Linked DNA regions of Anolis sagrei. Each later gene encodes a partner of the first gene's protein in a complex. Links are inferred from orthologs where the notes say so. Each region holds a gene or a part of one and is shown on either strand. Other genes may lie near its edges. The genes, in order: TIMM22, TIMM9 and TIMM10B.

Region 1 (11,478 bases):
ATAATATAATGTGATTAGAATATATATAACATAATAAAGCATTTCTTTCTGCATGCAACAATATAATATATACCTATAATAACAACACATTTCTTTATGTATGTTATTATATAATAATGCAGTTCTTTGTGCATGTAATAATAATAATATAATAATGATAAAGCATTTCTTTGTGCATGTAATAATATAATAAAGCATTTTGTGCATGCAATATAATATTTGTAATAATAAAGCATTTCTTTGTGCCTGTAATAATATAGTAATTACATTAATAATATAATAATAAAGAATTTCTTTGTGCATGCAAAAATATAAAATAATACATAACAATAATGCAGTTTTTTGAGTATGTAATAATAATACAATAATTATATTAAAAATAATATAACACATTTCTTTGTGCATGTAATAACAATACATAATAATAGTGCAGTTCTTCATGTACGTAATAATACAATACCTATATTAATAATAATATAATAAAGCATTTCTTTGTGTGTGAAATAATATAAAATAATACATAACAATGATGCAGTTCTTTGAGTATATAATAATAATACAATAATTATATTAATAATAATATAACACATAATACATAATGATAATGCAGTTCTTAGTGTACATAATAATAATACAATAATTATATTAATAATATAATAAAGCATTTCTTTTTGCATGTAGTAATATAAAGTAATAATAATGCAGCTCTGTGCATGTAATGTAATATAAAAATACACAATAATAAAGCATTTGTGCATGGAATAATAATATAATAATATAATAAAGCATTTGTGTATGTAATAATATATTAATTATAATACAATAAAGCATTTGTTTGTGCGTGTAATAGTACAATAATTTAATAATATATAATATAGACATTTCTTTGTGCATGTAATAATAATACATTAATGATATTACATATAATAAAGCATTTCTTTGCGCATATAATAAAAATAATAATAACAATAAGATAATAACGATAATGCATTTCTTTGTGCATGGAATACAAACGGGAAAATTGAGTGAGCGTAATACGAAACGGGGGAAACATATAATGAGATGGGATCCTGCTGCAGAGAACTCTTACAAAAGGGCATAAATAGCACGGAAAGGAAGAGCTCACCGACTCGACCAGGCACTCGGTGCAGGAGAACATGGCGCCCACAATGGCAAAGTTCTTGGCGTAGGACATCCCCCGCTGCCCCATGTCCTTGAGGACCTCTCTGGCGGTCGGGGTGCAGAGGGGGTCCTTGGGGTCGAAGCCCACGTTGGTGTCAATGCCGGCCGTGAAGACTCCGAAGGCACCCCCCAAAACAAAGCCTGCGAGCAATGGGAAGAGGAATAAACAGAAGTGACGATGAATGACAAGGTTTCCTAATACCTAAATGCATGTCATGTTCCTATTTTGACAGTTGTTCTATTCTTTGGGGCTGATTATTGACCACAATAATAATAATAATATATATTTTATCAATTATTTCCAACACTATTCATGCCAAGTGTGGTCCAGATCCATCATTGTTTGGGTTCATAGAGCATTCTGGATGTAGGTGAACTACAACTCCCCCAAATCAAGTGAATTTCTTCCAAAGATCTCCAGTACATTTTGTTGGTCATGGGGGCCCTGTGGACCTACAACTCCCATAAAATACGGTGAATTCTCCCCAAACCTCTTTAGTATGTTCAGTTACTGATCAACTTCTCTGTTTGCTGTGTGCCATAGAAAAGAATAGGAAAGGGTTAAGGAAGAGGCAGTGGGCCCAAATTGGTGTCTCCTGAGTAGTGGGAGCTATAGCTGTTTGTGGACAATGTATTGTCGAAGGCTTTCATGGCTGGAATCACTAGGTTCTTGTGGGTTTTTTCGGGCTATAGAGCCATGTTCTAGAGGCATTTCTCCTGACGTTTCGCCTGCATCTATGGCAAGCATCCTCAGAGGTAGTGAGGTCTGTTGGAAGTAGGAAAATGGGTTTATATATCTGTGGAATGGCTGGGGTGGGGCAAGGGAAGAGCTCCTATAGCCCGAAAAAACCCACAAGAACCTAGTGTTTGTGGACACCCCAGCCACACACATACATACATATTTTCACTTTTACTATGTGTTTAGATAGATAAATGGTGATTGAATGGGGCTAGACACACACGGTTAATTATATTTAATATATTATTTATTAATATTATTGTATATATTATTTTGTATCATGGAATCCTAGAATTGGAAGAGACTTTGTGGGTCATCCAGTCCAACCCCATTCTGCCAAGAAGCAGGAACATCGCATTCAAAGCACCCCCGACAGATGGCATCCAGCCTCTACTTAAAAGCCTCCAAAGAAGGAGCCTCCACTACACTCCGGGGCAGTGCGTATGACTCTTATATATACCATGTATGTTGTTGTTTATTCGTTCAGTCGCTTCTGACTCTGTGTGACCTCACGGACCAACCCATGTCAGAGCTCTCTGTCTGCAGTCACCACCCCCAGCTCCTTCAGAGTCAAGCCAGTCACTTCAAGGGCACCATGCTGGATTGTGGATCATTTTATATTGTGTCTTGAATTTTGAACCTTGTTCTTTCTATGTTGTACACCGCTGTGAGTCGCCCCCGAGCTGAGAACAGCGGTATATAAACAAAGTAAATAACTAAATAAATAAATAAAAATAAATGTATACAGACACAATATATTTATTATATTATATTAATATTATATTATATACCATGTATACAGACACTATATATTTTTAAATTTTATTTTACTTTTATTATTTATTATTTTCTACCATATTATTTTGTATATTATTTATATTTTATTATATATACTATGTATACATGCAGAGTATATATATATAGTTTATTTATTTACAGTATTTATATACTGCATATACAGATACTCTCTCTCTCTCTCTCTCTCTATATATATATATATATTCTGTATAAATAAAGATGTGATGTTCGTATGTGGGATTAACATAATAATATAATAAATAATAAAACTTTATTTATATATTGCTCTATCTCCCCGGGGGAACTCAAAAACCACTGGACGAATGGACACCAAATTTGGATACAATACACCTATAAGGCCAACAATTGACCATCACTCATAAAAACACTGAAAAACACAGTGGAAGAGACTTTAAAAGCAAAAAAAAAAAAATTACATTACAATTCATCCGCAAAACAACATATTTACACATATACACAAATATACACACACATATAAACATATATACACACAAAACACATATACACAGACTGGGCCACAGCAACGTGTGGCAGGGTTCGGCTAGTATATATATATTTATACAAATAAAAACATAGTGTTTGTTTGTGGGATTAACATAACTCAAAAACCACTGGACGAATTGACACCAAATTTGGACACAAGACACCTCTCAGGCAAACAAGTGACCATCACTCATAGAAATACTGAAAAACACAGTGAAAGAGACTTAAAAAGCCAAAAAATAAAAATACATTACAATGTATGCACAAAACCACATGCAAACATAGCACATATACATAGACTGGACCACAGCAATGCGTTGCTGTGGCCCAGTCTGTGTATATGTGTATTGTGTGTGTATATATGTGTATATATATGTGTGTGTGTGTGTGTATATATATATATATATATATATATGCACATGTGTTTTGTGTGTGTATATATATGTGTATATATGTAGTTTTGCACATGCGTTGTAATTCATTTTTTTGTTTTTTGGCCTTTTAAGTCCCTTCCACTGCATTTTTCAGCGTTTTTATGAGTGATAGTCACTTGTTGGCCTGATAGGTGTCTTCTGTCCAAATTTGGTGTCAATTTGTCCAGTGGTTTTTGAGTGATGTTTATCCCACAAACGAACATGACATATATATATATATATATATATATATATATATATATATATATATATATATATAAACAGAATATTATATTTTATATTTATAGCATTTTATTACGCATTGTGCATTATATTTTATGCCTGTATTATTGAGAAATATATATATATATATATATATATATTTCAGAAGTTAGATATATTTATTACAGAATATTATATTTTATATTTATGGTATTTTATTACACATTGTGCATTATATTTTATGCCTGTATTATTGATATATATATATATATATATATATATTCAGAAGTTAGATATATTTATTACAGAACATTATATTTTATAACATATTTATATTTATTGTATTTTATTACATATCGTGCATTATATTTTATGCCTGTATATTTCAAAAGTTAGATATATTTATTACAGAATATTATATTTTATATTTATGGTATTTTATTACATATTGTGCATTATATTTTATGCCTGTATTATATATATATATATATATATATATATATATATATATATATATATATCTCAGAAGTTAGATATATTTATTACAGAACATTATGTTTTATAACATATTTATTTATATTTATTGTATTTTATTATACATTGTGCATTATATTTTATGCCTGTATTATTGAGATATATATATATATATATATTCAGAAGTTAGATATATTAATTACAGAACATTATATTTTATATTTATATTGTATTTGCAATATACACGTTGTGCTATATATTTTATGCCTGTATTATTGAGAAATATATATATATATTTCAGAAGTTACATATTTTTATTATAGAACATTATATTTTATAACATATTTATTTAATTAATTATTTTTCAGAAGTTAGATATATTAGTTACAGAATATTATATTTTATAACATATTTATTTATATTTACTGTATTTTATTACATACTGTGCATATTTTATGCCTGTATTATTGAGAAATATATATATTTCAGAAGTTAGATATATTTATTACAGAATATTATTTTTTATAACATATTTATTTATATTTATTGTATTTTATTAGATATTGTGCATTATATTTTATGCCTGAATTATTGAGAAATATATATATTTATTTATTTATTTTTCCTAGCTATTAGATGTAATATATATATATATATATATACACACACACACTGCCTAAGGGCGCCCAAGATGGCGCCACGACTGCTCTCTTCCCTCCCTCCCAGCAGCCCTTGCGTGGCGTGCCGGCCCTCTTGCGGCCTAGCTCACCTCCCGCGCAGGCCAAGGCGGCCTTGAAGGTGCAGCTCTCCATGGCGCGCTCCACCGCCTTCTGCTCGGCGCTCTTCACCGGCGAAGGGAAGCCCGCCAAGGCCAAGGCCGCCGTCTCCAGGCCGGGACGAGGCCCGCGCTTCTCCCCGACCAGGTGCTCCAGCAGCACGCTGTACTGCAGCCCTGCCGGCGACGCTTCTTCGGACCCCGCCGAGGGAGAAGGAGACGGCGCCGCCATCGTGCTCGCTTTCCCTCAGAGGCCGAGACTCCGTCTCCCGTCAGGCCTTGCGCGGAACGGCCTTATTGCTCCCAATGGGAATCCCTGCCGCAGAGGCTCAAGGGAGATGGAGTCCACTAAATACCCTGAGCTCTTTCTTGAAAGGACGCCATGTTGTAAAACTTCACAGACTACATCTCCCATCTTGCCTTTCGCGGAACATTGGTATCGTTTCTAATGCGAATCCCTGGCGCAGAGGCTCGCGGGATATGGAGTCCTCTAAACACCCTTAGCGCTTGCTTGAAAGGACGCCATGTTGTAAAACTTCGCAGACTGCAATTCCCATCTTGCCTTTCGCGGAACAGCCGTATTGTTTCTAATGAGACTCCCTAACGCAGAGGCTCGCGGGAAATGGAGTCCGCTACACACCCAGAGCGCTCGCTTGAAAGGACGCCGTGTTGACAAAACTGCAATTCCCGTCTTGCCTTTCGCGGAACAGCCGTATTGTTTCTAATGCGAATCCCTGCCGCAGAGGCTCGCGGGATATGGAGTCCTCTAAACACCCTTAGCGCTTGCTTGAAAGGACGCCATGTTGTAAAACTTCGCAGACTGCAATTCCCATCTTGCCTTTCGTGGAACAGCCGTGTTGTTTCTAATGCGAATCCCTGCCGCAGAGGCTCGCGGGAGATGGAGTCCACTAAACACCCTGAGCGCTTGCTTGAAAGGACGCCATGTTCTAAAACTTCGCAGACTGCAATTCCCATCTTGCCTTTCGCGGAACAGCCATATTGTTTCTAATGAGAATCACTACCGCAGAGGCTCAAGGGAAACTGAGTCCTCTTCCTAGAAAGGGCGCCATGTTGTAAAACTTCGCAGACTTCACCTCCCGTCATGCCCTTCGCCCTATAGCAATATTGTTTCCAATGGGAATCCCTGCCGCAGAGGCTCAAGGGAGATGGAGTCCCTCTTGCTTGAGTGATAATGAAATAATAAACATAATAATACTTAATATAACAATACGTAATAGTAATAATACGAATAAATGACATAATACTACTTAAAATAATAATAATATTATTAATACATATAATAATAATACCAAATAGTACTAATAATAAAATAATAATACTAAATATAATATTATTATTAATACATATAATAATAATAATAATAATAATAATAATACCTAATAATAGTAATAATAGTAATAATAGAAATTATAATACCTAATATAATATTATTATTAATACATATAATAATAATATTACCTAAAAATAATAATAGAAATGAGAATACCTAATATAATATTATTATTAATACATAATAATAATAATACCTAATAGAAGTAATAGTAATAATAGAAATGAGATTACATAATATAATATTATTATTAATGCATATTATAATAATAATACCTAATAGTAGTAATAGTAATAATAGAAATGATAATAGCTAATATAATATAATTATTAATACATATAATAATAATACCTAATAATAGTAATAATAGAAATGATAATAGCTCATATAATATTATTATTAATACATATAATAATACGTAATAGTAATAATAGTAATAGTACTAATAGAAATTATAATAGCTAATATAATATAATTATTAATACATATAATAATAATGCCTAATATTAGTAATAATAGAAATGATAATAGCTAATATAATATTATTAATAATACATATAATAATAATACCTAATAATAGTAATAATAGAAATGATAATAGCTAATATAATATTATTATTAATACATATAATAATAATACCTAATAATAGTAATAATAGAAATGATAATAATAATGCCTAATAATAGTAATAATAGAAATGATAATAGCTCATATAATATTATTATTAATACATATAATAATAATACGTAATAGTAATAATAGTAATAGTACTAATAGAAATTATAATACCTAATATAATATTATTATTAATACATATAGAAATAATACCTAATAGTAATAATAGTAATAATAGAAATGATAATACCTAATATAATATTATAATTAATATTATTATTAATACATATAATAATAATACCTAATAGTAATAATAGTAATGATAATACCTAATGTAATATTCTTATTAATACATATAATAATAATGCCTAATAATAGTAATAATAGAAATGATAATAGCTCATATAATATTATTATTAATACATATAATAATAATACGTAATAGTAATAATAGTAATAGTACTAATAGAAATTATAATACCTAATATAATATTATTATTAATACATATAGAAATAATACCTAATAGTAATAATAGTAATAATAGAAATGATAATACCTAATATAATATTATAATTATTATTATTATTAATACATATAATAATAATACCTAATAGTAATAATAGTAATGATAATACCTAATGTAATATTCTTAATAATACATATAATAATAATACCTAATAATAGTAATAATAGAAATGATAATACCTAATCTAATATTAGGGCCCCCAGGTGGCCCAGTGGGTTAAACCACTGAGCTGCTGAACTTGCTGACTGAAAGGTTGGTGGTTCAAATCCAGGGAGCGGGGTGAGCTATCGTTAGTGAAGTCGAACATGACACACTCACACACCCCCCCCATAAAAGATAGTAACTTATAGTTTTGCTAAGGACAAGGACACCAGACTGGATAATAAGGGTTAAGCCTTGATCAATTTGCCAAGACACTAACAACAACAAGGACCCTTCCCATGACAGATAGTGTGTAAATATTACAATAGGACAAGGGGAAACCTTTGGAAAGCTTCCCCCTCCTGACCTGTCACCCATTCAACTCTCTCACTGAAGGCATCCACTTAAGTTTCCCCCGTTGTTCCTCTGTTTTGGTGTAAAAGGAAAACCCGGACTATGTTGGTATAATGTTTATTTTACTCAATCACCAGTCATTAGTAAAGCTTAGCTCGTAGGCCATTTTAGGATTCGTATCAGGACATTTCCTGATACCATAATCCACTCAAGAATGCATTGTATTCCCTTGTCCCGCCTCCCTTCCTTCTGATTCACTGGAGTGCCTAGGCGGCAGAAGCCTCCTGATTGGCTCTGGCGCACCGCAGAAGCCCTGTGATTGGCCCAGGCGCTCAAGGGGCGGCCAAGCCTCCTCCCAGCCAATCACCTTCAAGCCGAGCAAGAGTGGAGAGCGGGAGATTTGAACCACACAACTCTGTATTTCTATAAAAATGGCATTTATTTGTGTACATGTTATGCTTTAGCTTGGCGAAAGGTTGCTGCTTTGCATCCTTTTCAGCTGAATTGGCCCCTGGACATTTCCTGATACCATAATCCACTCAAGAATGCATTGTATTCCCTTGTCCCGCCTCCTTCCCTGCTGATTCGCTGGAGCACCTAGGCGGCAGAAGCCTCCTGATTGGCTCTGGTGCACCGCAGAAGCCCTGTGATTGGCCCAGGTGCTCGAGGGGCGGCCGAGCCTCCTCCCAGCCAATCACCTTCAAGCCGAGCAAGAGCAGAGAGCGGGAGATTTGAACCACACAACTCTGTATTTCTATAAAAATGGCATTTATTTGTGTACATGCTATGCTTTAGCTTAGCTGAATTGCAATAAAATCATCTCAGTGGCGCTTTCTTCAACTTTGGCGAGATTCTTTTTGGGAACCGAGGGAAATTATCTTAAATTGGGCTTCTCTTTGCTCCCCGTTGTAGCGATCCTTCTTTGGTGGGTCCGCAGGGTCTCTCCTACAGGGCCAGTCCCTTCTAAAATCCTCCATTGTTTCATTAGCCCCAGCTTCTGCCAACCTAGCAGTTCGAAAACATACAAATGTGAGTAGATCAATAGGTACTGCTCCTGCGAGAACGCCGGCTCTTCGGCTTCGAAACAAATCCTCTCATTTGGCCACCGCAAAGCCAGAAATACATTTGGATGAGAGACGGCGGGGATAATTGGAGGGAGAAAAGGAGGCCCTGTCATTAGGAGGGCGAGGCTGCCTTCCTTGTGGGCACGAGGCCGAATTTAGCCTTTGGCCACATCATGGGACTCTCTGCCTGGAAGACGCCTCGACTACGCCTTGCAAGGGAGAGAAAACAGGCACAAAATACGATCGGAATAACATAAATAATCACTTCTGTTGGTTCTGGGAAGGGGTGAAGTGACCCCGCAGGTAGACCCCACTGCAACCTATGGATCACTGTTCAAATACATCTCGATCTAAAGGGAAGAAGCAGGATAATGATAATAATAATAAATTTAATAATACTAAATAGAATAAAATAATAACATAGAATCATAAATGAAATAAAATTTATAATAAAATTATATATATATAATAATAATAATAAAAATATAATATATTAAGTATTATAGAATAATAAATATAATAAAATAATATATACCACAATAAATAGAATAAAGTTATATATATAAATAACAAATAGAATAATAAATAAAATATATAATAATAAAAATAAATAAAATAAAATATAGAATAAATAAAATAAAAAATTGAATAATAATAAATATAATAAAATTATATATACTATAACAGAATAAAATTATATATATATATATATATATATATATATAACAAATAGAATAATAAATAAAATATATAAAAATATAAATAAAATAAAACATCTAATAATAAATAGAATAAAATATAAGATAAGAAAATAATAACAAATATAAGAAAATAAGCTATATAATAATACAATAAAATATATTATAATAAATAGAATAAAATTATATATAAAGAGAAACAATAACAAATATAACACATATAACAATAAAATATAGAACAAAATAGAATAATATTAATACAATACAATACTAAACAGAATAATCTCTCTCTCTATATCTATCTATATATATATAACAAAATAGAATAATAAAATAGAATAAATAGACATAATAAATAAATAATAAATAAAAGAAAATGTATAATAAATAAAATAAAATATATAAGAATAAATAGAACAACCATACGAAATAGAATAAAATAATAAAAAATAAAATATTAAATAGATCAGAATATATAAAATGGAATAATAAAATAAAACATATAATAATAATAAACAGAATAAAATAAAATATATAATAATGATGAATAGAAATATAATAAAATATATCATAATAATATTAAATATAATATATAATAACAATAGTGAGATGGCTGAGGTGGGATTCGAACCCAGGGTTCTTTTGGGTGGCATGTATGGCATCACATGACCCCGGCTTCCCCTTTTTCCTCTCCTCCTTCAGGTTCGGCTGGGCTTCCTCCTGATGCAGATGCATGGGCTTCTCTGCAGGAAATCCCTCTGAATGCAGAAGAGGAGGAGAGAAGGAGGAAGGGAAGAGAGAAAGGAAGAGAAAGAGAGGCACCCTCCATCCGCCAGCCTGGCTGCATCCCTACCTTCCTTCCATCCATCCATCCTGTTGATGCGGCAGAAGCAGGAGGGTGAGTGCCACCTGGCATCCTTTTCCCATCCGTCTCTATGGGATCTCTCCCAGGGAAGGAGATGCTCTGGCTGCTTGGCACATCTGCTGCTTCCAAGGCTGCAAGGGAAAGGGCTCTCATTTGTTTCAATGGGGGGAGCTGTCATTTGTGCTAAGCTTCTGCCTGATTGTTCAAAAGGGGGAAATCCTACGGCTTGGCTTTGCTTCTGCCTTTTCTCTCTTATGGAAGGGATTGTGCTCCTCTATCTCTCATAATAATAATAATAATAATAATAATAATTATAATAATAATAATAATAATGTTCAAGAGATGCGTCTAAAGGTAAAAATTAATAATAATAATAATACATGTAATAATAATAAATAGAATAAAATAAGAAATGGAATAATAAATACAATAAAATATAATAAAATAATATATATGTATAATAATAATAATAAAAGAATAGAATAAAATAAGAAACGGAATAATAAATATAATAAAAAATAAAAATAATATATATATAATAATAATAAAAGAATAGAATAAAATAAGAAACGGAATAATAAATACAATAAAATATAATAAAATAATATATATGTATAATAATAATAAAAGAATAGAATAAAATAAGAAACGGGATAATAAACATAATAAAATATAATACAATAATAAAAATAATATATATTATAATAATAAAAGAATAGAATAAAATAAGAAATGGAATAATAAACATAATAAAA
Region 2 (11,022 bases), on another chromosome or scaffold:
CGTGCAGCTGAGGAGTTGTATGCTACCTGAGCTCAGCTCCCATTAGTAATCTGGCTGCTGTCCGCTGGACCATTTGAAGCTTCTGGACAGTCTTCAAAGGCAACCCCACATAGAGCGAATTACAGTAGTCTATACGGGATGCAACCAGAGCGTGGACTACTGTGGCCAAGTACCATATATACTCGAGTATAAGCCGACCCGAATATAAGCCGAGGTACCTAATTTTACCACAAAAAGCTGGGAAAACTTAAGTATAAGTCGAGGGTGGGAAATGCAGCAGTTACTGGTAAATTTCAAAATAAAAATAGATATCAATAAAATTACATTAATTGAGGCATCAGTAGGTTAAATGTTTTTGAATATTTACATAAAACTGTAATTTAAGATAAGACTGTCCAGCTCTGATTAAATCGTTATTCTAATCTTCAGTGTAAATGTGCTTATGTATCCCTCCAATAATAACAAAGGGAGTGTTATTATTAAAAACCTGGATGTTCGAACAGGCATTTGGTTAATCGGTGCAATGAATGTGATGATTACAGGAATGGTAATATGGACAACGAAACTGGATCACGATTTTAGTCATGAGATGCATTGGATTGTTATTGTTGTGCCAATATTGTGTATTATGCTTTTATGGTTTTAAATTGTATATTGTTGACTTTTGTACCTTGTTGTAAACCGCTAGGCTGAGAAACTGCGGTATACAAGTAAAGTAAGTAAGTAAATAAATAAATAATAATGATGATGATGAAATCCAGCATATATACCTCATTTGCTGTGTCATACTATGTTTTGTGTCAGGATAATAATAATAATAATAATAATAATAGAGTAAAATAATGGAAATGTAATAACAGTAATAACAGAGTAAAATTATAAATGCAGTAACAATAAAAATAAAGTAAAATAATAAATGTAATAATAATAAAGAGTAAATAAATAATAATACTAATACTAATAATATAATATATATATATATATAATATAAAAATAACTCTAATAATAAATGTAATAAAATAATAATACTGTAGAGTAAAATAATGTAAATATAATAATAATAATAATTATATTTAAATAATTCATGTAATAAAATGATACTAATAACAAAGTAAACTAATAAATAACCTTGACTCGAGTATAAGCCGAGGAAAACTTTTTCAGCCTAAAAAGGGGGCTGAAAAACTAGGCTTATACTCGAGTATATACAATATATAAATATGGCAAATAAATAAATAAGTAGACATGGCCAGAGCTTAAGTGACATCTAGACTGGGTTAGTCCAGTGTTAGCTACAATGAACTAAATTAGAAGAGAAATTGCAAGCACTTATTTTTTTTTTGTATTAATCACCCAACAATACCACATACATGTCTTCAACCACAGCTGTTTTACACAAACATGCAAATCTTGTACTATACATACATTTTCCAGCTGCAATTTTAATGTGAATATTTGAAATCCATATTAGCATGCTGCCACATAATGGCGACTATAGTGTATCTATTAAAACAAGGAATGCAGCGGAACGGAGAAAGAATTTTTACAAAACAGTGCAGGATATCCATGCCAAGAATTGAGATTAGTGTCTCTTCCAAATTAATTGCTTCCCGAATGAAGTGAGCTTGCTAGCAGTTTTAAGGACTGTCAAGGTCATAATGAATGCTTGCAGACCTCTCTTATTGAAAAACAGTGCTAGAAAGCAGCAAGGGACCCAAAAGCCCAGGGTGCATCTCGGCTGCAGAATTTAATGCAGTTTTGACATCTTTTCACTTCATGGCTCATTGTTATGTTATGGAGTTTGACAAGGTCTTCAGCCTTCTCTGCCAAACAGCAAATCCCAGCATTCCATAATATTGAGCCATGGCAGTTAAAGTGGGGTTACACTACATTAATACTACAGTGTAGATGCACCCTCAATAGGATGAAAATGTGACCAAAAAAGAAAACAAAATCCCTCCCATCTCGATATTTCCTTCTTCTTTTCCATCCTTGAGTTGACACTATTTTAACTACAATGAGCTTAATGCAGGAGCTGCAGTGGTGCAAAGGATTAAACCTTTGTGCAGGCTGAACTGCTGACCTGAAGGTCATCAGTTCGAATCTGCGAGATGGAGTGAGCTCCCATCTGTTAGCTCCAGCTTCCCATGTGGGGACATGAAAGAAGCCTCCCATAGGATTAAACCCTTGTGCCGGCTGAAATGCTGACCTGAAGGTCATCAGTTCGAATCTGCGAGATGGGGTGAGCTCCCATCTGTTAGCTCCAGCTTCCCATGTGGGGACATGAAAGAAGCCTCCCATAGGATTAAACCCTTGTGCCGGCTGAAATGCTGACCTGAAGGTCATCTGTTTGAATCTGCGAGATGGGGTGAGCTCCCATCTGTTAGTTCCAGCTTCCCATGTGGGGACATGAAAGAAGCTTCCCATAGGATGGTAACACATCCATGTGTCCCCTGGGCAATGTCTGTACAGATGGTCAATTCTCTCACATCAGAAGCGACTTGCAGTTTCTCAAATTGCTTCTGACACGATAAAAAAACCCCTTAATTCGATGGAATTCTGGGAATTGTAGTTCGGCGAGGTACAACCAACCCTTCAGCAGAGACCTTGTAAAACTAGAGCTTCACTGATCACACAGTACTGAGGCATAGCAGTTAAAGTGGGATCAAAGTGCAGTGTAGATGGACACACTGCCTGTCGACCGCAGACATCCATTAGTTTTACTAATCAAAAGTTTTGGGCTCCTTCTACACTGCCATATAATCCAGATTATCAAAGCAGATAGTCCATATGATCTGCTTTGAACTGGATTATATGTCTAAAATGCCATATAATCCAGATTATTTGAGTAGATAATCCACACGATATGCTTTGAACTGGATTATATGTGTCTACACCATATAATCAGATTATCCAAGTAGGTAATCCGTACGATCTGCTTTTGAACTGGATATGAGTCTACACGGCCATATACTCCAGATTATCTAAGTAGATAATCCACATGATCTGCTTTGAACTGGATCATATGACTCTACACGGCCATATAATCTGGATTATTGAGTAGGTAATCCACACTATATGCTTTGAACTGGATTATATGTGTCTACACGACCATATAATCCATACAATCTGCATTTGAACTGGATTATATGTGTCTACACAGCCATATACTCCAGATTATCTAAGTAGATAATCCACATGATCTGCTTTGAACTGGATCATATGAGTCTACACGGCCATATAATCCGGATTATTGAGTAGATAATCCACACTATATGCTTTGAACTGGATTATATGTGTCTACACGACCATATAATCCATACAATCTGCATTTGAACTGGATATGAGTCTACACGGCCATATACTCCAGATTATCTAAGTAGATAATCCACATGATCTGCTTTGAACTGGATCATTTGAGTCTACACAGCCATATAATCCAGATTATCTACTCGATAATCCACGTGATCTGCTTTGAACTGGATCATATGAGTCTACAGGCCCATATAATCCGGATTATCTACTCGATAATTCACATGATCTGCTTTGAATTGGATCATATGAGTCTACACGGCCATATAATCCACACGATCTGCTTTGAACTGGATCATATGAGTCTACACGGCCATATAATCCGGATTATCGAATAGAAAATCCACATGATCTGCTTTGAATTGGATCATGAGTCTACATGGCTATATAATCCGGATTATTGAGGAGATAATCCACATGATTTGTTCTGATCTGGATCATATGAGTCTACACGGCCATATACTCCAGATTATTGAGATGATACACACGATCTGCTTTGAACTGGATAATGAGTCTACACGGCCATATAATCCGGATTATCGAGTAGATAATCCACATGATCTGCTCTAAACGGGATCATGAGTCTACACAGCCATATAATCCGGATTATCGAGTAGATAATCCACATGACCTGCTTTGAACTGGATCATGAGTCTATATGGCCATATAATCCGGATTATTGAGTAGATAATTCACATACTCTGCTCTGAACTGGATCATGCGTCTCCTCAGCCATATAATCCGGATTATCGAGTAGATAATCCACATGATCTGCTCTAAACGGGATCATGAGTCTACACGGCCATATAATCCGGATTATCGAGTAGATAATCCACATGACCTGCTTTGAACTGGATCATGAGTCTATATGGCCATATAATCCGGATTATTGAGTAGATAATTCACATACTCTGCTCTGAACTGGATCATGCGTCTCCTCAGCCATATAATCCGGATTATCGAGTAGATAATCCACATGACCTGCTCTGAACTGAATCATGAGTCTACACGTCCATATAATCTGGATTATTGACTCAGTAATCCACATGATCTGCTTTGAACCGGATAATATGAGTCTATATGGCCATATAATCCGGATTATTGAGTCGATAATTCACATAATCTACTTTGAATTGAATCATGAGTCTACACGACAATATAATCCGGATTATTGACTCAATAATCCACATGATCTGGTTTGAACTGGATCATATGAGTCTACACGGCTATATAATCCGGATTATCGAGTAGATAATCCACATGATCTTCATTGAACTGGATTATATGAGTCTACTTGGCCATGTAATCCCGATTATCGTTTAGATCATTCACTTGATCTGCTTTGAACTGGATCATGAGTCTACACAACCATATAATCCGGATTATCGTTTAGATCATTCACTTGATCTGCTTTGAACTGGATCATATGAGTCTACACAGTCATATAATCCGGATTATCTTGTATGGCAGTGTAGAAGGGGCCTGCTACAACCCTTCCCCGTTTAATACTTCTAGCACAAAGAATCAACTCCTAAAACCTTCCCTCCTGGCTTGCTTGCTTCTCACCTTCCTCTTGCAATGGCTGCGGATCCTTCCTTCCTTCCATCGACCACGTGGGGGTGCATCGCCTTAAAGGGTCCCGGTTTCCACCCGGACGACTATCAAGAAGGAACGGAATTGGAGGGTGCGCATGCGCATTTCCAACCCAAGCCTTTGTAATAGGAAATCTAGAACTGCGCATGCGCGGCTTGTCTTGAATTGGGAAAGCTACTGCGCATGCGCGGCTTGTCTTGGACTGGGAAAGCAAAGCATGCAGGTCGGTTTGGAAGTGGCGGGAGCCCTGCCTGCTGTTACCATAGCGACCGAGGCTTCCGGTTAGAGGCCGCTGGGCAACCCAGAGCAGAGGGGTATCTACCTGGGGAACAAAAAGGAAGGTGGGGAGTACTTGTGGAGGCATAATTCAATAAGTATTTTCCTGTAGTTACTTCTTTATGTAATTCTTTGTGTTGATGAAGGCTTTCATGGCTGGAATCATTGCATTGCATGGCCATGTTCCAGAAGCATTCTTTTCTGACGTTTCTCCCACATCTATGGCGACTAAAACGATCAAGGGCCTGGAGAACAAGCCCTATGAGGAGCGGCTTAAGGAGCTGGGCACGTTTAGCCTGAAGAAGAGAAGGCTGAGAGGGGATATGATAGCCATGTATAAATATGTGAGAGGAAGCCACAGGGAGGAGGGAGCAAGCTTGTTCTCTGCTTCCCTGGAGAACTGGACGCAGAACAATGGCTTCAAACTACAAGAGAAGAGATTCCATCTGAACATGAGGAAGAACTTCCTGACTGTGAGAGCTGTTCAGCAGTGGAACTCTGCCCCGGAGTGTGGTGGAGGCTCCTTCTTTGGAAGCTTTTAAACAGAGGCTGGATGGCCATCTGTCAGGGGTGATTTGAATGCAACATTCCTGCTTCTTGGCAGAATGGGGTTGGACTGGATGGCCCATGAGGTCTCTTCCAACTCTTTGATTCTATGATAGGCATCCTCAGAGATTGTGAGGTCTGTCTGGAAACTAGGCAAGTGGGGTTTATATACCTGTGGAATAAATGTCCAGGGTGGGAGAAAGAACTCTTATCTGTTGGAGTTAGCTGTGAATGTTGCAATTGGCCATTTTGATTAGCATAGAATCATAGAATCAAAGAGTTGGAGGAGACCTCATGGGCCATCCAGTCCAACCCCACTGTGCCAAGAAGCAGGAATGTTGCATTCAAATCACCCCTGACAGATGGCCATCCAGCCTCTGCTTAAAAGCTTCCAAAGAAGGAGCCTCCACCACACTCCGGGGCAGAGAGTTCCACTGCTGAACAGCTCTCACAGTCAGGAAGTTCTTCCTCGTGTTCAGATGGAATCTCCTCTCTTGTAGTTTGAAGCCATTGTTCCATTGCGTCCTAGTCTCCAGAGAAGCAGAAAACAAGCTTGCTCCCTCCTCCCTGTGGCTTCCTCTCACATATTTATACACAGCTTGCAGCTTCAAAGACTGGCTGCTTCCTGCCTTCTGGAACATGGCCATGCAGCCCGGAAAACTCACAGCAACCCTATCTACATATATAATGCAGCTCGAAACAGTATGGATCCATATAATGTGGTTTAACTATCTTGAACTACATTTTGAGTCTACACTGACCACATGATGCAGTTTCAAACTGCAGCATTCAGGTATGGGTAATAGTATGAAACTGGGTTGTTGTAAGTTTTTTTCGGGCAATATGGCCATGTTCTAGAGGCATTCTCTCCTGACGTTTCGCCTGCATCTATGGCAAGCATACTCAGAAGTTGTGAGGTCTGATCTAGTGAGGTAGTGAGGTCAGACCTTACTACCTCTGGGGATATTTATTTATCGTGTCATCAGCAACCAGACATTTGTATTACATTTTTAACAAAAGCAAACAAACAGACGAAACACAGAATTTGCAAGCTTGGTAGTTGATTCAATGTCCTTTGACCAGTATCTGGCCACTTGGAGTGCCTCTGGTGTTGCCGCAAGAAGGTCCTCCATTGTGCGTGTAGCAGGGCTCAGGTTGCATTGCAGCAGGTGGCCTGTAGTTTGCTCTTCTCCGCACTCGCATGTCGTGGACTCCACTTTGTGGCCCCATTTCTTAAGGTTGGCTCTGCATCTCGTGGTGCCAGAGCGCAGTCTGTTCAGCGCCTTCCAAGTTGCCCAGTTTTCTGTGTGCCCAGGAGGGAGTCTCTCATTTTGTATCATCCATTGATTGAGGTTCTGGGTTTGAGCCTGCCACTTTTGGACTCTCGTTTGCTGGGGTATTTCTGTGAGTGTCTCTGTAGATCTTAGAAAACTATTTCTTGATTTAAGTAGTTGACGTGCTGGCTGATACCCAAACAGGGGATGAGCTGGAGATGTCTCTGCCTTGGTCCTTTTACTCTTGGCATCCACTTCCCGGCGGATGTCAGGTGGTGCGATACCGGCTAAACAGTGTAATTTCTCCAGTGGTGTAGGGCGCAGACACCCTGTGATAATGCGGCATGTCTCATTAAGAGCCACATCCACTGTTTTAGCGTGGTGAGATGTGTTCCACACCGGGCATGCATACTCACCTCTGGGGATGCTTGGCATAGATGCAGGCGAAACGTCAGGAGAGAATGCCTCTAGAACATGGCCATATAGCCCAAAAAAACCTACAACAACCCAGTGATTCTGGACATGAAAGCCTTCGAAAATAGTATGAAAGCTGGGTCCGGAAGCTCTGAGCGTTATGCTGTTTCCGCTTCACTCCTTCGGGAGCTCTGTTTGCGCAACGCAGAACAAAACACAGATATTATAGCAGGAATGTAAGAGTTATTTAATGTTAAAACCCTTATCCTAATCCTAAACCTTACCCTAACCCCCTAAATCTTACCCCTAATCCTAACCCTAATCCTTACCCTAAACTTTACCCTAAACCTTATTCTAACCCTCCCCTCCTTTCTATTCTTCCACCAGATACAACTTTGAAGTATATTCCCACCCTCAGTGTGTTGCTCTCCCCTTCCCTTATTTACAACCGCCTTTGCGGAATGAGCTTCCGAACCCAGCTATCATACTATTACCCAGGGATGTTCTGTTGTAGGCCTTTTGGTGACATGAGTGTGACTTGAGCATAATCTTGTGTTTATTATTGTCATAATAATAAGCAGTAACCGTAGTATGGAGTTTGAATCATGCATATTCCTCCATGTTCTTCTGTTCTTTCCTGTTACCTTTTAATTGCATCAACTAATCTTGTGTTTCAATAGTCCATCAACTAGTTTTGTGCTTTGCTTAAAAGGAGCAAGAGCTGAAATGTTGGCTGTGAGCTGCTAATGTGATTGGAAAGGACTGCTGGCCGAAGATCCTTTGATTAGACCCTCTGCTGTCAACAACCTTATCTTTCCCAACTTCCACATGAAGAAGAAACATCTTGACACTCAGCCAGCACTGACTTCAGATGGCAAGCCTGCTGCTTGTGCTAAGAAGAAGGTCTCCATCTCTGTGAAGAGGCTTCGAGAAATAGCTCCGCCCCACCCTCTGGTGTTCTCTGTAAGGGATGATGGAGTTTATATTCCACCAGCCTTGGTGGCTAACAAACCTGAATCTCATAAGACAACAACAGAAACATCTGAAGGCACCACAGCAGGTACATTTGTTAGTATTGTATAAGTCTAAATCTTTTAGAGGTCAGAAGTCCAGTTGACTGTGAATGTCTTCCACATGTTGAGTATTATAAATGTCCCCTTCCCATCTTGCTTTGCTTCATCTGATTTGCTCTTGGCCTTTGCTTGCTCTGTCTCCTTTCTCCTTTCATATCCCAGACCTCTTGGAAAGAGGGGCAACATCCTGTTTCGGTTGCTGTGGGTTTAATTCAGGGCAGGGAAAATGTAACCTCTCAAATATTGCTATTGTAGCTTCCTTAAGCTCTCATGGACTGCCAAAAATGGTGAATTGGCAATTTATGGAAACCTGCAGGAATGGTGATTAATCTTTTAAATAGTTCTCAAGAACATTCTCTGCAGTGTTTGAAATATATACATATATGTATTCATTTAAAATACCTTGTTATCTAAAACTAAAAGTGAGCCGGGCTATAGCACAGCTGGTTAATCACCAGCAGCAATAGATCTTACCAATCGAAAGCTTGGCAGTTTGAAGACTGGATCAGGGTGAGCACCTGACCTTCAGCTCAGCTTACTGTCCACCTAGACAGTTCAAAAACAGCTGTGAGTAGAGAAATTAGGCACCGCTTAAGTGGGAAGGTATTTTACAGCACCATAAAAAGGAAGTACTGGAAAATGTCGGCAATCAAAAGACAGGAGGAAGTCTGTGACCAAGGGCTCTGCCCTGAGGTCGTAATTGAGGACAACCTCCGGGATGCTGAAGTTGGGAAAAATGCCCACATAATACCTCTGTCTGTCCTGTATGTCAAACGGCATTGAATGTTTGCCGTGTATGTGTTCTGTGATCTGCCCTGAGTCCCCTTTGGGGTGAGAAGGGCAAATATAAATGCTGTAAATAAATAAATAAATAAATAAATAAAGTTCTGATCACTTCCAGTTTGTTTCTGTTTTCCTTGTTTGGCAGTTTATGCAAAACAAGAAATACAATTCTTCTTCTTCTTCTTCTTCTTCTTCTTTTTATTATTATTATTGTTATGGATATGAGATCATGACTCAGAATTTTAGATGGTTTTTAATCTGTTTGATTGATTACTATGTACTTTAATTGCTTATATGCTTATATTGTTTTATATTTTGATGAGATATATGTTATTGTTTATCTGTGCAGCATTAAATTTTTGCCGGATTTGTACCCTCTGGGGTAGAAATGAAGTAAATAAATTAATAACAAATAAATAAATTATTACAACTCCTGGAAAGACCAATTTGTAGAAAATCATTTATTCTTCGTGTCGTCCGTGAAATGCGCACCTATGGGTTCTTCTTTGCGCATGCGCAGAAACTCGGAACATTTCTAAGTTTAAAGAATTAAAAATGATTATTTGAGCCACCTAGGCCCCGCCCATTCCCCCGCCCCCCTGGATATAAGCGCCGAGCGGCGCCGCCATTATCTAGTTTCCTTTTCCGCGCTAAACTAGCAGCATCTCGGAACAACTCCTCCTCGATTTCCTCTGACTAACTGGACTGACTTGGACTGATTTCTGGACTTTGGTTGCCTCTTTTCTCCACCCTCGACTCGGACCGGCTGACAACTCTTTTTCTTCACCCTCAGGCTAGATGTCTTCCCTTTATTTCAAAAATTGCTCAGCTTGCGGGGCCACCCTCCCCGAAGCTGATAGGCACTCAAGATGCCTCCTTTGTTTGGGAGAATCCCATAATCTCCAATCTTGTGAGATTTGTTTAAGCTTTACTACAAGGGCTCGTAAAGGAAGAGATGCCCGTTTGAAAGCTCTGTTGTATGAGCGCGCTCTGGCTCCACAATCCCTCCCCACTCCCTCCCTCTCTTCCCCATTGATAGAGCCCCCTCAGCCTCCCTCCCCACGCATTGGGGAAAGGCATGAGTTGGATCAGGCAACTGTTTCCCCTGTGGAACCGCCTGCAAAGAAACAAAAACTCCCCAAACAGCCCACGAGGCTGGGGAAAACAAAAGAGAAAGCAAATAAACAGAAAAAGGGACGGCAACTCACTGACACACAGTCCTTGAGTCCTCCCAGACTGGAACCGATGCCCCATTCCTCCGGATCCGTGCTGCACCTCCAGGAGCCACTCCCCACCATGCTCCAACTGGATGACCCCTCCCACCTCCCTCCGCTCGAACTCCTGGCCCCTCAGCTGGAGTTGGAAGCCCAGCCCTCTGCAGGCCGATCGGCTTCTCCTCCTCCGCTTCCTCTCTCCCAAGCCTCCCCCCTCCCATCCCCTCTTCCTCAAGCCCCGGCCCCGAGAGAAACTCCCTCCCCCGTTCCGGCTGCGCCGATTGCGCAATCTTCCCGCCGCCGCCGCCGATCCCCTTCTCCTGAGGCGGAACCGACAGCGCCCTCCTCTCCTCCTCTCAAAAGGCCCCGTCCTTGCTCCTCTGAGCACTTTCAACCATATGGGTACCCAGAGTACCCTTACCACCTCTATCCCCCTCCTCCTCCCTTCCCACCATACCCTTTCTATTATCCTCCCCACCCTGATCACTATAGGGGCTTTGATGCCTCCCATCTGGAGGACCCTAGATACCCTCAGCC
Region 3 (10,772 bases), on another chromosome or scaffold:
TGCAGTGGAGTGAATTGGAGTCTCCTTCTGGAAGAGGTCCAGACGGAAGACTCACAGCAACCCAGTGATTCCGGTCATGAGAGCCTTCCTTTGACAACACAATAATAATAACAACAATACTTTGTTTCTAGACCGCCCTCTCTCTTTATAGGGACTCAGAGCTGTTCAGAAGTGGAACTCTCTGCAGTGGATTGCCGTAAGTTTCATGAAAGCTTTCGACAACCAATAATAATAATAATAATAATCCTTCATTTGTAGACCGCCTTCTCTCCCCATAGGGACTGAAGAGCTGTTCAACTGTGGAACTCTCTGCAGTGGAGTTGATTGGAGTCTCCTTCCGGAAGAGGTCCAGACGGAAGACTCATAGCAACCCAGTGATTCCGGCCATGAGAGCCTTCCTTTGACAACACAATAATAATAACAATGTTTCTAGACCACCCTCTCTCTTTATAGGGACTCAGAGCTGTTCAACTGTGGAACTCTCTGAAGTGGAGTGGATTGGAGTCTCCTTCTGGACGAGATCCAGACGAAAGACTCACAGCAACCCAGTGATTCCGGCCATGAGAGCCTTCCTTTGACAACACAATAATAATGAAATACTTTATTTCTAGACCGCTCTCTCTCTTTATAGGGACTCAGAGCTGTTCAACTGTGGAACTCTATGCAGTGGAGTGGACTGGAGTCTCCTTCCGAAAGAGGACCAGACGGAAGACTCATAGCAACCCAGTGAGAGCCTTCCTTTGACAACACAATAATAATAATACTTTGTTTCTAGACCGCCCTCTTTATAGGGGCTCAGAGCTGTTCAACTGTGGAACTCTCTGCAGTGGAGTGTACTGGAGTCTCCTTCCGGAAGAGGACCAGACTGAAGACTCACAGCAACCTAGTGATTCCAGTCATGAAAGCTTTCGACAACCCAATAATAATAATAATACTTCATTTGTAAACCGCTGTCTCTCCCCATGGGGACTCAGAGTTGTTCAACTGTGGGACTCTCTGCAGTGGAGCGGACTAGAGTCTCCTTCCAGAAGAGGGCCAGACGGAAGACTCACAGCAACCCAGTGAGAGCCTTCCTTTGACAACACAATAATAATAACAATACATTGTTCCTAGACCGCCCTCTCTTTTATAGGGGCTCGGAACCGTTCAGCAGTGGAACTCTCTGCAGTGGATTGCCATAAGTTTTCCGGGGCTGTGTGTCCACGTTCCAGGAGCATTCTATGCATGTATGTCAGGCATCCTCAGAGGTGGAATGATGTCCAGGATGGTGGAAAGAAAATCTTCTCCCAGGCAGCAGGCAGCCAGATCTTGAAGTTGCAAGGCCATTAAACGCTAATCAAGCTGACCTCACAACCTCTGAGGATGCCTGCCATAGATGTGGGCAAAAGAAAATCTTCTCCCAGGCAGCAGGCAGCCAGACCTTGAAGTTGCAAGGCCATTAAACGCTAATCAAGCTGAATTCACTATCTCTGTGCATGTGGGCAAAACGTCAGGAGAGAGTGCTTCTGGAACACAGCCAGGAAAGCCTACAACGAGCCACTGCTGTACACAATGCCCTCTGCACATGCTCAGGGCCCCCCTGGCCTTGCTTTACCCTTCTCTGGCGCGGGAGACTCCATGGCTGCTGAGGAGGAGAGTGAGCGTTGCCAGGGGCGTTGCTAAGGAAGCCTAACGTCCCCCCTCCCGCCCTTCCGGAAGTCCGCTCTAGCCGTGCAGAGGATGTCCCTCCCCTTTGGGTGAGCTCAACCAATGAGGAGGCTTGGAGGAGGAAAAGGCGTTTGTATTTGAGTAAGGGCATTGCTTCAGTCCCCACTTCCGGGCGTGGGAGGCTCCTCCCCTTCCGGCTTGGCGGGCCCGCCCTCCTGCAGGCGGCGCTGGACCAAGACTGGCATGAGGCGCACGTAGGCCGAGATCAGGCGCTGATTGGAGCGGACCAGCTTCCCCGCGCAGCCCTCCAGGCACGCCTCCTGCCATAGAGAGAGAGGGAAAGAGAGGCACCGCTGGGATCAGAATGGCGGAAGAAGCCACAGGAAGTGGTTTTCCCCCGCACTTCCGGCGCCTTTTGCCCTCACCTCGCTCCCGTCTAGGCCTCGCTGGAGTAATCCCGGGACGCAGCGCCGGAAGCAGAGCTCCGTCATCCGGTTGTAGACCAGCAGGAAGTCCCGCAGCTGGAACAGGAAGGAGACAGATAAGACGTTTGGACTACAACTCCCACAATCCCCAAGTGTTAGGAAAGCAAGGCCTAGCTCAGGCCTTCCAGGCACTTTGGACTACAACTCCCACAATCCCCCAGTTTTGGGAAAGCTAATCCCTCTCTCAGAGCCCAGCTGGGCCCTCCAGGCGCTTTGGACTACAACTCCCACAATTCCCGACTGTTAGGAAAGCAAATTCCTCTCTCAGAGCCTAGCTAGGGCCCTCCAAGTGCTTTGGACTACAACTCCCACAATTCCTAAGTGTTAGGGAAGCAAAGATCTCTTTCAGAGCCGAGCTTGGGCGCTCCAGGCGCTTTGGACTACAACTCCCACAATCCCCAAGTGTTAGGGAAGCAAAGCCTAGCTTGGGCCCTCCAGGCGCTTTGGACTGCAACTCCCACAATCCCCAAGTGTTAGGAAAGCAAAGATCTCTTTCAGAGCCTGGCTTGGGCCCTCCAGGCGCTTTGGACTACAACTCCCACAATCCCCAAGTGTTAGGGAAGCAAAGCCTAGCTTGGGCCCTCCAGGCGCTTTGGACTGCAACTCCCACAATCCCCAAGTGTTAGGAAAGCAAAGATCTCTTTCAGAGCCTGGCTTGGGCCCTCCAGGCGCTTTGGACTACAACTCCCACAATTCCCAAGTGTTAGGGAAGCAAAGATCTCTTTCAGAGCCTAGCTCGGGCCCTCCAGGCGCTTTGGACTACAACTCCCACAATCCCCAAGTGTTAGGGAAGCAAAGCCTAGCTTGGGCCCTCCAGGCGCTTTGGACTACAACTCCCACAATTCCCAAGTGTTAGGGAAGCAAAGATCTCTTTCAGAGCCTAGCTTGGGCCCTCCAGGCGCTTTGGACTACAACTCCCACAATCCCCAAGTGTTAGGGAAGCAAAGCCTAGCTTGGCCCCTCCAGGCGCTTTGGACTACAACTCCCACAATCCCCAAGAGTTAGGGAAGCAAAGATCTTTTTCAGAGCCTAGCTTGGGCCCTCCAGGCGCTTTGGACTACAACTCCCACAATTCCCAAGTGTTAGGGAAGCAAAGATCTCTTTCAGAGCCTAGCTCGGGCCCTCCAGGCGCTTTGGACTACAACTCCCACAATCCCCAAGTGTTAGGGAAGCAAAGCCTAGCTTGGGCCCTCCAGGCGCTTTGGACTACAACTCCCACAATCCCCAAGAGTTAGGGAAGCAAAGATCTCTTTCAGAGCCTAGCTTGGGCCCTTCAGGCGCTTTGGACTACAACTCCCACAATCCCCAAGTGTTAGGGAAGCAAAGCCTAGCTTGGGCCCTCCAGGCGCTTTGGACTACAACTCCCACAATCCCCAAGAGTTAGGGAAGCAAAGATCTCTTTCAGAGCCTAGCTTGGGCCCTTCAGGCGCTTTGGACTACAACTCCCACAATGCCCAAGTGTTGGGGAAGCAAAGCCTAGCTAGGGCCCTCCAGGCGCTTTGGACTACAACTCCCACAATGCCCAAGCGTTAGGGAAGCAAGGCCTAGCTTGGGCCCTCCAGGCGCTTTGGACTACAACTCCCACAATCCCCAAGCGTTAGGAAAGCAAAGATCTCTTTCAGAGCCTAGCTTGGGCCCTCCAGGCGCTTTGGACTACAACTCCCACAATCCCTAAGCGTTAGGAAAGCAAAGATCTCTTTCAGAGCCTAGCTTGGCCCCTCCAGGCGCTTTGGACTACAACTCCCACAATCCCCAAGTGTTAGGAAAGCCAAGCCCTCTCTCAGAGCCTAGCTTGGGCCCTCTAAGCGCTTTGGACTACAACTCCCACAATTCCAGAGTGTTAGGAAAGCAAAGATCTCCTTCAGAGCCTAGCTTGGGCCCTCCAGGCGCTTTGGACTACAACTCCCACAATGCCCAAGCGTTAGGGAAGCAAGGCCTAGCTTGGGCCCTCCAGGCGCTTTGGACTACAACTCCCACAATTCCTAACAGCCGTCCCGGCTGTTAGGAATTGTGGGAGTTGTAGTCCAAAGCGCCTGGAGGGAAGGATGGGAAGCCCCGCCCCCTTGTTTGGGAAGACTCACGCTGCGCAGTTGCTGCTGCTGCTCGCTCTCCGCCATCCTGCGTCACTTCCGCTTTGCTTCCCCCTTGACTCCTTCCTTCCTTCCTCTCTCTCCCCCCGACCCTGGGGCCGCCGTGACGTCGCTTCCGGTCCTCCCGGGGGCCCAAGGCGGCGGAGGAGGAGGAGGAGGAAGGCGACGTGGCCCCAGTTCCGGGAGAGAGGGAGGGAAGGAAGAGGGAGGGGCCTAGAGCGCACCTGTGCACCTGGGAGGCAGGTACACAAGCTCACCTGTCCCCCTCCTGCTCCTCGTCCAGGATGACGGAGGGGCTGATGAGCAAGGCGGCCACCATGGAGGTCCCCATCCACGGCAACGGAGACTCCCGGCGGATGGGACCCTCCACCACCTCCGAGGATGATGGCCTCGAGCAGGTGCATTGAGGGAGGGGCTCACCTGGAGAGGGTGGGTGGGGGTGGGGTGGGGTAGCAGGGGAATTGAGGCAGGGGCTCACCTGGGGAGATTGGGTGGGTGAGGGGTGAGGTGGGGTGAGGGTCCCTCAGAAGATGATGGCCTCGAGCAGGTGAATTGAGGGAGGGGCTCACCTGGAGAGGTTAGGTGGGTGGGGAGTGGGGTAGCAGGGGAATGGAGGGAGGGGCTCACCTGGAGAGGTTGGGTTGGTAGGGGGTGGGGTAGCAGGTGAATTGAGGGGGGGACTTACCTGGGGAGATTGGGTGGGGGGGTGGGGGGCGGTCGAGCAGGTAAATTGAGGGAGGGGCTTACCTGGGAGGTTGGGTGGGTGGGATGGGGAGAGGTCAAGCAGGGACCCGTATTACTCGTAGTAATAATATTATTATTGGTGTTGTGGTGGTGCTTGAGTAGCAGGCAAAATGTCAGGAAGAAATGCTGCCAGGCCACAGCCCTACAACCTGGATAAGCACACAACTGAGGGAGGGGCTTACCTGGGAGGTTGGGTGTGGGGGGGGTGGGGAGGGGTCAAGCAGGGACCCGTATTACTCTCAGTAATAGTATTATTATTGGTGTTGTGGTGGTGCTCGAATAGCAGGTGAAATGTCAGGAGGAAATGCTGCCAGACCACAGCCCTTACCTGGGGAGATTGGATGGGGGCTGGGGGTGGGGGTGGGGGTGGGGAGGGGTCAAGCAGGGTCCCTTATTACCATTAATAGTATTATTATTATTGGTGTTGTGGTGGTGCTCAAATAACAGGCGAAATGTCAGGAGGAAATGCTGCCAGGCCACAGCCCTACAACCTGGATAAGCACACAATTGAGGGAGGGGCTTACCTGGGGAGATTGGGTGGGGGGTGGTGGGGGTCCCTCAGATGATGATGACCTCGAGCAGGTGAATTGAAGGAGGGGCTTACCTGGGGAGGTTGGGTGGGTGGGGGGTGGGGAGGGGTCAAGCAGGGACCCGTATGACTCGTAGTAATGATATTATTATTGGTGTTGTGGTGGTGCTCGAACAGCAGGTGAAATGTCAGGAGGAAATGCTGCCAGACCACAGCCCTACAACCTGGATAAGCACACAAGTGAGGGAGGGGCTTACCTGGGGAGATTGGGGGTGGGGAGGGGTCAAGCAGGGTCCCTTATTACTCATAGTCATAATATTATTATTGTAATATTATAATATTATAATATTATTATTGGTGTTGTGGTGGTGCTTGAATAGCAGGCGAAATGTCAGGAGGAAATGGTGCCAGACCACAGCCCTACAACCTGGATAAGCACACAAGAGAGCCGTCATTCCAGCCGTGAAAGCTTTCCACAATACATTATTATTATTATCATTATCATTATTATTATTATTAGAAACATAACAAGATGAGTCCACAGCAGACACTCTGCTGGCTGTTGCATTGGATCCCATGTCGGACACATTATTATTATTATTATTATTATTATTATTATTATTATTTGAAACACAACAAGATGAGTCCACAGCAGACACTCTGCTGGCTGTTGAATTATTATTATTATTATTATTATTACTGTTATTATTTGAAACACAACAAGATGAGTCCACATGTCAGACACTTCCCAAGTGCCTAGGACTATTATTATTATTATTATTATTATTATTATTATTATTATTAGAAACATAACAAGATGAGTCCACAGCAGACACTCTGCTGGCTGTTGAATTGGATTACACATTGGACACTTATTATTATTATTATTATTATTATTATTATTATTATTATTATTAGAAACACAACAGGATAACACTACAGCAGACAATCTGCTGGCTGTTGTACTGGGTCACACGATGGACACTTATTATTATTATTATTATTATTATTATTATTATTGGACACTTATTATTACCACTCAGAGGATAATGGCCTCGAGCAGGTGAATGGAGGGAGGGGCTTACCTGGGGAGATTGGGTGGGGGGTGGGGGTGGGGAGGGGTTAAGCAGGGACCCTTATTACTTTTAATAATATTATTATTATTATTGGTGTTGTGGTGGTGCTCGAATAGCAGGTGAAATGTCAGGAGGAAATGCAGCCAAACCACAGCCATAATTATTATTATTATTTTACTGACACAAAACCACAATATGTCACAGCAAACAAGATCTCTGTGCTAGGTTTCATATCACAAAATCATAAGTCGATCCCTTTCCTAAGTGTCTATTTATTTGTCGTTTCACGGCAAGCAAACTGCATTGAGTCGCCTTTTTGGGCTGAAAAATGCGGTATAGAAATAAAGCAAATAAATAAATAAAATAAATAAGCAGTCAATTATATTATATTTCTAACAGAACAAAGCAAACAAACAGACAAAACACAGAATTTGTGAGTTTGGTAGTTGGTTAAATGTCCTTTGAGCAGTCTCTGGCCACTTGGAGTGCCTCTGGTGTTACTATAAGAAGATCCTCCCTGGTGCATGTGGCAGGGGGTCAGTGGTTTGCTCTTCTCCGCACTCGCATGTCGAGGATTCCACTTTGTAGCCCCATTTCTGAAGGTTGGCTCTGCATCTCGTGGTGCCAGAGCACAGTCTGTTCAGCGCCCTCCAAGTCGCCCAGTCTTCCATGTGCCCAGGGGGGAGTCTCTCATTTGGTATCAGCCATTGGTTGAAGTTCTGGGTTTGAGCCTGCCACTTTTGGACTCTCGCTTGCTGAGGGGTTCCAGCGAATGTCTCTGTAGATCTTAGAAAACTATTTCTAGATTTAAGTCGTTGATGTGCTGGCTGATATCCAAACGGGATGGGCTGGAGATAAAGTGGGGTATAAATATATATGATAACAATATTATTAAGTATTATTATTATTATTATTATTACTGCTTTGAGTCCCATTTGGGAGAGATAAAGCAGGATATAGATGATGATGATGATGATGATGATGATTTATTTTATTTTATTTTATTTGTCGTGTCAGGGCAACCAGTTAATTATATTACATTTCTAACAGAACAAAGCAAACAAACAGACAAAATACACAACTTGTGAGTTTGGTAGTTGGTTAAATGTCCTTTGACCAGTATCTGGCCCCTTGGAGTGCCTCTGGTGTTGCTGCAAGAAGGTCCTCCCTGGTGCATCATGTGGCATTGTAGCAGGTGGTCAGTGGTTTGCTCTTCTCCACACTCGCATGTCAAGGATTCCACTTGGTGGCCCCATTTCTGGAGGTTGGCTCTGCATCTCGTGGTGCCCGAGCACAGTCTGTTCAGCGCCTTCCAAGTCGCCCAGTCCTCTGTGTGCCCAGGGGGGAGTCTCTCATCTGGTATCAGTTCTGGGTTTGAGCCTGCCACTTTTGGACTCTCGCTTGCTGAGGTGTTCCAGGGTTGTGCTTAGTCTGGAACCAAGTGTCTATGACTGTGTGATGTATCGAATAATAATGCATTCAGATCTGAATAGAGTGGCCTTTTGCAGTTGACGCCACTTGTGTTTAAGTGCAGGCCAAGGTCTTGCCGGCACTTAAACACAATCGACACTGACAAGATTACCATCAATTGGTTGCAAAAAGCCACCCTACTGGGATCTGCATGCATTATGCGCTGATACATTTATTTATTTGGCAGTTTTGTATAGCGGTCTTCTCACCTCCATCGAGGGACTCAGGCCGGTTTCCAACATCAATATTACAACAATCATTAAAAACATCGTATTCCAAATTACAGTAAAACAATAAAAGGCAAAATACAGTCATATAATTACAATGGTCAGTCGTCATCACGCAGTCATAGACACTTGGGAAAGGGATCGACTTGTGATTTTGTGATACGAAACCTAGCATAGAGATCTCGTTTGCTGTGACATATTGTGGTTTTGTGTCGGTAAAATAATAATTATTATGGCTGTGGTTTGGCAGCATTTCCTCCTGACATTTCGCCTTTAGAAAAAAGGTGAAAATGTGGCTGTGGGACCAGGCAATGGATAATGTTTGACTCTGGCATGGAAGAGGATTTGGATAAGTTAAGCGGAGTAATCATTACTAGATGGCTAGCTCAACAGCCACCAGGCGGGCAATCGCTAATCAGAGTGTATGTATACTGTTTTAATCTATATTTATTAATGTTCGTGTTTAATTGTTATATTTGTTATTCTGTATTTTATGATGCGGCATTGAATTATTGCCAATTGGAAGCCGCCCTGAGTCCGTTCCCCCCCCCCCCCCCCAGGGGTTGAGAAGGGCGGGATAAAAATGTTTGAAATAAATAAATAAATTGAGGCACTGCACCCGGTGTGCCAATCACCACTGGGACCACCTTGACTGGATTGTGCCAGAGTCTTTGCAGTTTGATCTTTAAATCCTCATATCATGTCAGCTCATTATTATTATTATTATTATTATTATTATTATTCTAATGACACAAAAAACACAGTATGTCGCTATCGCAGCAAACGAGGTATATATGCTGGATTTTGTATCACAAAATCACAAGTCAAACACTTCCTAAGCATCTAGGACTGTGTGATAGCTGGAGCGGGGGGGGGGGGGGGGGGGGCTTGAGGGGCTTCACCCCCCTCCCCCCGAAATTCTCATGGTGGTTCGCGAAAAGGCCTTACTGGTACATTATTTAAACTGTTATGTTTATTCATATCGTGATCTGATCACCATGCTCCATATATCCCAGATGCACAGAGGGGGTATTATTGGGGTAACGATACAAAAGGTTTGCTAGGGTAGATCCCCAGCCCCGCTCCCCCCTGAATCAAAATCCTGGCTATGGGCCTGGTGTGATATATTGTATTTGTTTAATAATCATTATAGTATTATTATTGTTGTTATTATTATTGTTGTTATTGTTATTATTATTTGATACACATACAAGATGAGTTCACAGCAAACAAAATCACTCTGCTGGCTGTTGTATTGGATTATACGCTGGATACTTCCCAAGTGACTAGGACTGTGTGATGTATCAGCGCATAATACATGCAGATCCCAGTAGGGTGGCCTTTTGCAACTAATAGATGGTAATCTTGTCAGCACTGATTGTGTTTAAGTGCAGGCCAAGGTCTTGAGGCACTGCACCCAGTGTGCTGATCACCACTGGGACCCCCTTGACTGGCTTTTGCCACAGTCTTTGCAGTTTGATATTATTATTATTATTATTATTATTATTATTATTATTATTATTATTGTACTGACACTAAAACACAGCATGTCACAGCAAACGAGATCTAGATGCTGGATTTCGTATCACAGAATCCCAAGTCAAACACTTCCCAAGCATCTAGGACTGTGTGATTTATTGTTATTATTATTATTATTATTATTATTATTATTATTCTATTGACACAAAAACACCGTATGTCACAGCAAATGATGCTGGATTTCGTATCACAGAATCACAAGTCGAACCCTTCCCAAGCGTCTAGGACTTTGTGATGTATTATTGTTGTTGTTATTATTATTATTATTGTACTGACACAAAAGCACAGTATGTCACAGCAAACGAGATCTTGATGCTGGATTTTGTATCACAGAATCACAAGTCGAACACTTCCCGAGCGTCTAGGACTGTGTGATTTATTATTATTATTATTATTATTATTATTATTATTATTATTACTTTACTGGCACAAAAACACACTATGTCACAGCAAACAAGGTATATATGCTGGATTTTGTATCACAAACTCACAAGTCGAACCCTTCCCAAGCATCTAGGACTGTGTGATGTATTATTGTTGTTGTTATTATTATTATTATTGTACTGACACAAAAGCACAGCATGTCACAGCAAACAAGATCTAGATGCTGGATTTCGTATCACAGAATCGCAAGTCGAACCCTTCCCAAGCGTCTAGGACTGTGTGATGTATTATTATTATTATTATTATTATTATTATTATTATTATTATTCTATTGACACAAAAGCACAGCATGTCACAGCAAACGAGATCTCTATGCTGGATTTCGTATCACAGAATCACAAGTCGAACCCTTCCCAAGCGTCTAGGACCATGTGATGTATTATAGTTTTATATATAGTGTTTTTAAAGTTGTTTTTGTAATTGTGATATATGATATTTTAATGAGTGACTGTGAGAGCCGTTCAGCAGTGGAACTCTCTGCCCCGGAGTGTGGTGGAGGCTCCTTCTTTAGAAGCTTTTAA

What was found.
Region 2: the proteins of TIMM22 (region 1) and TIMM9 are in contact, whole or in part, in a cryo-EM structure (PDB 7CGP), measured with the Homo sapiens proteins. The link is inferred for Anolis sagrei from reciprocal best matches to the Homo sapiens genes TIMM22 and TIMM9. Residues at the interface, in NP_037469.2 of Homo sapiens: Asp35, Arg37, Gln38, Pro39, Arg40, Leu42, Gly45, Ser46, Leu47, Gly49, Ile50, Ser52, Pro53, Lys60; in NP_001291414.1 of Homo sapiens: Gln13, Glu16, Phe17, Thr20, Leu57, Thr60, Gln61, Met65, Phe67, His71, Gln74, Asn75, Leu78, Lys81.
Region 3: TIMM22 (region 1) and TIMM10B share a complex: the UniProt entries of both Homo sapiens proteins name them as parts of the TIM22 complex. The link is inferred for Anolis sagrei from reciprocal best matches to the Homo sapiens genes TIMM22 and TIMM10B.

The regions. Positions count from the first base shown.
Region 1 is NC_090031.1:29,073,419-29,084,896, forward strand, and holds the start of TIMM22 (mitochondrial import inner membrane translocase subunit Tim22), read right to left. Parts: upstream 5,451-11,478; 5' UTR 5,340-5,450; coding exon 5,102-5,339; intron 1,324-5,101; coding exon 1,127-1,323; intron 1-1,126. Other genes in the region: SPECC1 (cytospin-B), read left to right, coding at 10,524-10,756. UniProt on the Homo sapiens protein: Essential core component of the TIM22 complex, a complex that mediates the import and insertion of multi-pass transmembrane proteins into the mitochondrial inner membrane. In the TIM22 complex, it constitutes the voltage-activated and signal-gated channel.
Region 2 is NC_090021.1:334,535,258-334,546,279, reverse strand, and holds the start of TIMM9 (mitochondrial import inner membrane translocase subunit Tim9), read right to left. Parts: upstream 4,973-11,022; 5' UTR 4,879-4,972; exon of another isoform or gene 4,851-4,878; intron 1-4,850. Other genes in the region: KIAA0586 (protein TALPID3), read left to right, coding at 8,244-8,475. UniProt on the Homo sapiens protein: Mitochondrial intermembrane chaperone that participates in the import and insertion of multi-pass transmembrane proteins into the mitochondrial inner membrane.
Region 3 is NC_090023.1:1,134,246-1,145,017, forward strand, and holds TIMM10B (mitochondrial import inner membrane translocase subunit Tim10 B), read right to left. Parts: upstream 4,299-10,772; 5' UTR 4,250-4,298; coding exon 4,214-4,249; intron 2,169-4,213; coding exon 2,073-2,168; intron 1,968-2,072; coding exon 1,803-1,967; 3' UTR 1,765-1,802; downstream 1-1,764. Other genes in the region: DNHD1 (dynein heavy chain domain-containing protein 1), read right to left, coding at 1,595-1,619; ARFIP2 (arfaptin-2), read left to right, coding at 4,507-4,620. UniProt on the Homo sapiens protein: Component of the TIM22 complex, a complex that mediates the import and insertion of multi-pass transmembrane proteins into the mitochondrial inner membrane.